2 linked regions of the Caenorhabditis elegans genome follow. The protein of the gene in region 1 interacts with the protein of each later gene in a pairwise test. Each region holds a gene or a part of one and is shown in the gene's direction. Other genes may lie near its edges.

The links. Proteins that work in one complex are often made in the same cells at the same time.
Region 2: the proteins of skr-20 (region 1) and fbxa-116 interact in a two-hybrid assay, tested with the Caenorhabditis elegans proteins (one large-scale study listed by BioGRID).

The regions. Positions count from the first base shown.
Region 1 is NC_003284.9:13,222,413-13,225,149, reverse strand, and holds skr-20 (Skp1-related protein), read left to right. Parts: upstream 1-1,612; coding exon 1,613-2,134; downstream 2,135-2,737. Other genes in the region: skr-19 (Skp1-related protein), read left to right, coding at 442-909.
Region 2 is NC_003283.11:20,187,121-20,190,747, reverse strand, and holds fbxa-116 (F-box domain-containing protein), read left to right. Parts: upstream 1-1,857; 5' UTR 1,858-1,865; coding exon 1,866-1,933; intron 1,934-2,012; coding exon 2,013-2,090; intron 2,091-2,138; coding exon 2,139-2,769; intron 2,770-2,816; coding exon 2,817-3,038; 3' UTR 3,039-3,091; downstream 3,092-3,627. Other genes in the region: fbxa-115 (F-box domain-containing protein), read left to right, coding at 1-164.

The DNA.
Region 1 (2,737 bases):
CGCTATTTTCAAATCAGTTTTTCCTAATGTGCTATGTAATTGAACTGTTCAACAGAAAGTAATGATTGTCGTGACTTATCAGTGACTTTTTTTTCATTTTTTTTGTACCAACTAGTGGTCACCCATCATATTCTTGACATACACTTTATTGATCCAAAAATTTCTGTGTTTAACATTGTAATAGTTCTAAGAATCGGATAAAAAAACTTTATTTTCAGCTACGTTTTTTAAAGCAAAAGTGCGAAAGAAATTATTACACATTGAATTTTATTGTCAAACGATTTAATTTAGTTTTTTCTTCTGCAAGAAACTACATACAAATAGAACTTCATCTAGAAAATTTAAGGAAATAGTTTGAATCCTGACTATTACTATTATTTGCTAATTTTTTTTCTTCTTTTCATTCTTTCTACTACAGACATTTTCAAGTATTTCAGTGTAATGCAAGTTGAAGAACCTGTAATACTCTACAAACTTCGGTCAACAGATGGGCAGAGATTTCTGGCAGATAGGCGAACAATCGGAATGATAGGACGGATTGAGGACCTATTTAGAAATGCTGGATTAGACCTGATTCCTGCCGATCAACTGCAGCCAATTCAACTAGAAATCCCTGCGACAGTGATGAGGAAAGTGATCGAGTGGTGCGACCATCATAAGCACGACCCGCCCTACGACGAATCTGAACCGGAAACCAATGATATTCCTGACTGGGATGCGTCGTTTCTGATGGTGAGGCACAACATGCTCTTTGATATAATCCGAGCCGCGAGGGATTTTACTGTACCTGGTCTCTTCGCCATGTGCTGCCGTGTCGTCGGACAAAATCCTAGAGAGATTATTGACGGATTGGTGAATGATGAAGAGGAGGAGCAGCCAGTATATCCAGTGGTGGCTGCAGCGGCTTAGGAATTTCATTTCAGATGTGTGGTGTTTCGTATGGTATGGGAAAATTTAGACTATTTGTTTTCATTTCAGTAAATATTTGAAGTGAGAAAAATGTAATCATAAGATCAAAGTTGAGCCCATTTTTGAAATTTTTGTGATAATTTGGGCAACATTTTAGCAAAAGTATTCTTCGTCTTTTATATTTTACAGAAAAAATGCAAAAACCATACTAATTTTGTAAACAATGCAACTTTATTTTTCAAGTTTGAATCAAAAATTCTCTTCTCGATTCCCTACAAAAAAACTTAAATACAACCACCATACTTCTCAGCCACCACCACATTTAATGCTAATTTCCCGTGTTCAACCGTCTTGTATTCAATTTTATTTTCTCTGCTTCTTCGTTCAATTTATATTTTAAAACTTTCGCTGTAGATTTGTAATATAGAAAATTTGCCTTTGATCAACTTGACTCACAACGCCATTCACTTTTCTTCAAAAAATTTTACAATTCCAGTTTTTAATCGTTTCATTCCATCTTTAATAAATTCATAGTGTATTCTTCCAGCTCTTTTCCACAGGTCTATGATTCGCCAAATAAATAATAAAAATTACTTTAAAGATATCTCATTTATATATTTATTTTTGTGTGGTTTGAATCCACTCAATAATATTTTTGAAACAATTGCAAAACTATTTAATCAATTACCTTTAGTTCCACATCATGACCACACCACGATCTGCGCCCTTGTACAAACTGAAGTCAGAGGATGGTCAAATTTTTAATGTCGAACGAGGACCAATGAAATTTTGTGCATTTATCAATCAGAAGTTTATTGACCATGGAGTGAACGACAGAAATTGTGAACGAGCAGATCCAATTCTCGTTCCATTCCACTCATCGATTGTTCAAGCTGTAATAGAGTGGCTTTACCATTATCAGGACAACCCGCTCGCCCGACGAGACTCCAAAATTCGTTACCACGATTTTTCCGAATGGGACAAGCAGTTTTTCAACGTGGAATCGGGAGTTCTTTTTGCACTACTCAATGCTTCTCATGCGCTTGGAGTCGAAGATTTGATGAATATGGGGTGTGCAGCCGCAGCAGAATTGATTCGAGGAAAAAGCACGGAAGAAATTCGCAAGATCTATGGAATCAGGTCAGATGAAGAACAAATGGAGGAAGCGTTGGCAAATGGTGGAGAGGGAACATCTGCAATGACATTCACAACGGATTCTGATTGATGTTTAATTTCACATATTGTGAAGAAGATGTTTGAAAGAATATATTTATACACTTTGATTCAAGTTTATTTGTGAATAAATTATTTTACAAACCTCATAAATGAAAAATTGAAGTTATAAGAATGTAAAAGAATAGTTGGAAAACAAAACAAACAACTAAAGTGTCACTACTAATTAAAAAATTGCTTAAAATTAAATATCAAAGAACCATATGTAAATCAAGTTCTCGTTGTTTCAGAATATGAGGTGAGCCCCCAAATTACCGGATTTTTATTTCCGATTTTTTCTGATTTTGCATCCAATTTGGCCGAACTTGTACATTTCTGGTGTTTATTGCAAAATACTAGGTTTTAAAAGAACTAAACGTTTATAAACTTCATGACGGAATTGAATGCAGCGTTCTGATTACTAAATCTGGAAAATTTAATAGTGTGCTTTTTTTTAAAGTTTTTTTTTTCATCTGCCTTAATTTGCCCTTTTTTGTGGAATATTATTTTTCAATTTTGTTAGTTAAGTAAAGTTTCACTATGCTCAATTCTTCAGACTTTGGGGGGATAACTTTTTCGAGAGTTGTGATTAAAAGATACATAATATTCATATATC
Region 2 (3,627 bases), on another chromosome or scaffold:
TGTTCGATTCAGATTTACGAATTGAAGCGGACGTTGTGAGAGTTTTCAACCCAAACTTTGTTGATGAATATGTCTCCCGTCCTCTCCAATTCAAAGTCGAGCAATTTCTCGTCATAATCCATAAAACATCTCTGCGAATCAAGAAAATTGAAAACCCCCATTAAATTCCCCTTGTTGTTGTTATTTCTCAAGTGAGAATGAATATTTTTGTTGAAATTTTCTTTTTTTTTGTAATGTCAGTTATATCTGACATTTGCATCGTTTCAATATCTCTCAAAATCACATTTTAATGTACCTTTTCAGCAATTGTAACATTGGAAATTCAAAAACTACTGGATTTTTCCTCCAATTTTATGCTTTTTACCCTTTTTCCCGAGACTGGACCACAGAAAATAGTTTGCTGATTATCAAAATATTGAACAGGACGTTGTGAGAGTTTTCAAACCGGACTTTAATGAAAAATATGCCAACCGTACTCTCAAAATCAATATCGATCAATTTCTCGTCACAATCTATTGCGAAGTGTTGAAAATCGAAAAAAATTGAGGAACCCTGTTAATTTTCCATTTTTGTTGTTATTTCTTAAGTACTTCATGTTGATTTTCTGACGTCTATATAGGTTGAATATCTTTTATAATAACATTTTAATTATGTTTTTTAGCGATTTTATCATTAAAATATCTAAGAAGCGCTTTTCCTGCTCGATAAATTGACAATTTTCCTTGAGAAAGCTCTCAAATTAATAATTTTCACAGATTCAAAAAAGCCGAGAGAAGCCTGTTTTCACGAAATATTTATGATTTTCCAGCAAAAATGTGAATTTTTCGAATTAAAAATTTGTCAGATTTGATCGGGGTGCAATTTTTGTTGAAATAAACTCATGTATAGCATCGGTTTTGAAAATCCAACCTCCAACCTCTCACTTCGTTGCATCGCGTTGCGTCTTTCGCCATCCATCCGTATCTATAAGATTCGGTTTTGTTGTTATTTCATGTTGTGTTTTTATTGTTTCGATTAACTCAGAATGACCCTAAAAGGTTGAATTGTCATTATGAAAATAATCTCAAAATAAAAATTGTCTAGCTTGAAAAATGAAGCTTCACTTTTTTCATGTTAAATTCTGAACGATCGGCAGTTTATGTGCGTTTTTTCAAACCAACGTAAAAACTTATTATCGGAAAATTGCTTTTATATAATGCTACACTTCAGAGATAAGAAATGAGGAATATTTGAAGACAACAACCATTTTTGACAATCACGCGATTCAGGAACCTGTCAGCGGTCAGCAATAAATCTACTTTCCCTAATTGTGTCTCTGACGAATACCGAGAGAATGAGGAATACTGAATTGTTGGAACATACTTAAGCAGTGTCGAAACTGTTGTTGCCATGTTTGATGTTTTTCTTTTTATGATAAACTAATATAGAATTTCTGGTACTTTTATATTTAAATCATTTTTTCAATTAGGTTGGAATTTCTGGTATTTTTATATTTTAACCATTCTTTCGATTAAATAAAAAGGTCAAACTTTAAATACAAAATCCACATGTTTTTGAAATTATAATATGACACCTTACTTGACAGTTCTCTCAAAGTTATGTCTTTTGAATTAAATTCATTTATTTGAAAGACTAGAAAATTGTAGATCCAGCACTGTTTTTAGGTACGTCTATGATTGAGTTTTTACAGTATTCCTTCTATTAGTCTTGCATCCCTACTACCACATATTTATTTTTATCATTTATGTATTACGTTTATTTGAACGTGAAAATTTCCTCTTTTGTTTCCTCCGGTACTTTGTCCTAATTTCTTTTGTTCCGGAAACTTTGAAATCTAACATAATTTTCATATTTCTCAGAAACCTATGGAAGCGAACCAGATCAACGAGAAAATGGCCAAAAAACTGACAGATGAGTTGAAGGCTATTGAGATGTTAGTTTTTTTCTGTTTTAACTAAAAAAAATTGGTTTGACTTGAAAACAATATAATTTTTTAATGAACATAACTTTAGCTCTGGACCTCCATCACTCTTCGATATGCCAATGTGTGTAATGCATACAATTGTGGACAATTTGGATGCAATCGATCGGTTACCTCACTTTTATAGTTTTAAAGTTTAATTTCTCTTTGATTTCAGATTGATTCTTCGCTATGTAAACCGAAAATTGCGGAATTTCGTTGATAACAAGAAGCCAATTTTCAAGAATGTTAAAGTATATTCTGTCGTGGGTGGCTATAATCTTGTACTAGGTCATGATAAATCTACAATATTTTATGATTCAAAAGGTTCTGGTTGCATTGCAAGATGTGATGGTCGCAGGATGCGGAAAATCAACAAAAGCTCGTTGGCTGCACTGTTTGGTGATCTCGAAGTATGGATGAAAAATCCGCAACTTCAACTGGATAAGTTCAGCTTGTACGCAGTGTGTGACGATGAACTGACCACAAACCTTCTCAAAAAGATTACAAATGTAGAATATATGTTTCATGCCAAAAGTATTTACCTGAGCGTTGCGAAGTTCAGTAATGTCATCTCTATCCTTTCTCACTTTAAACCAGGATTTCTTGAAGAAATTGTTTTTTTCTGTCATTCTGGTCATGAAAGTATACATGAACTCTTTCTTCTAGAACAATGGAAACAAGTTAAATCAGTCTTTATTAAGTGGTTCCCATTCGATGATTTCCCCTTTGAGCACTTGGTCCATGTGTCTTGTTTCGAACTCAACTTGCCCAGAATATCAGTCTCTGTTGCGATTATAATTAGAGACGTGAGCTCGAATATTGACCTTTCCACAATTTAATCTATAATTTGTAGGTTCTCATGAAAACCGCTCAATTCGAATATGGAAAGATTCGTCTGTACGATTTAAACAATATGGATGACCCTCCAGATATTGAAGCGGACGTTGTGAGAGTTTTCAACCCAAACTTTGTTGATGAATATGTCACCCGTCCTCTCCAATTCAAAGTCGAGCAATTTCTCGTCACAATCCATAAAAGATCTCTGCGAATCAAGAAAATTGAAAACCCCCGTTAAATTCCCCTTGTTGTTGTTATTTCTCAAGTGAGAATGAATATTTTTGTTGAAATTTTCTTTTTTTTTGTAATGTCAGTTATATCTGACATTTGCATCGTTTCAATATCTCTCAAAATCACATTTTAATTTACCTTTTCAGCAATTGTAACATTGGAAATTCAAAAACTACTGGATTTTTCCTCCAATTTTATGCTTTTTACCCTTTTTCCCGAGACTGGACCACAGAAAATAGTTTGCTGATTATCAAAATATTGAACAGGACGTTGTGAGAGTTTTCAAACCGGACTTTAATGAAAAATATGCCAACCGTACTCTCAAAATCAATATCGATCAATTTCTCGTCACAATCCATTGCGAAGTGTTGAAAATCGAAAAAAATTGAGGAACCCTGTTAATTTTCCATTTTTGTTGTTATTTCTTAAGTACTTCATGTTGACTTTCTGACGTCTATATAGGTTGAATATCTTTTATAATAACATTTTAATTATGTTTTTTAGCGATTTTATCATTAAAATATCTAAGAAGCGCTTTTCCTGCTCGATAAATTGACAATTTTCCTTGAGAAAGCTCTGAAATTAATAATTTTCAC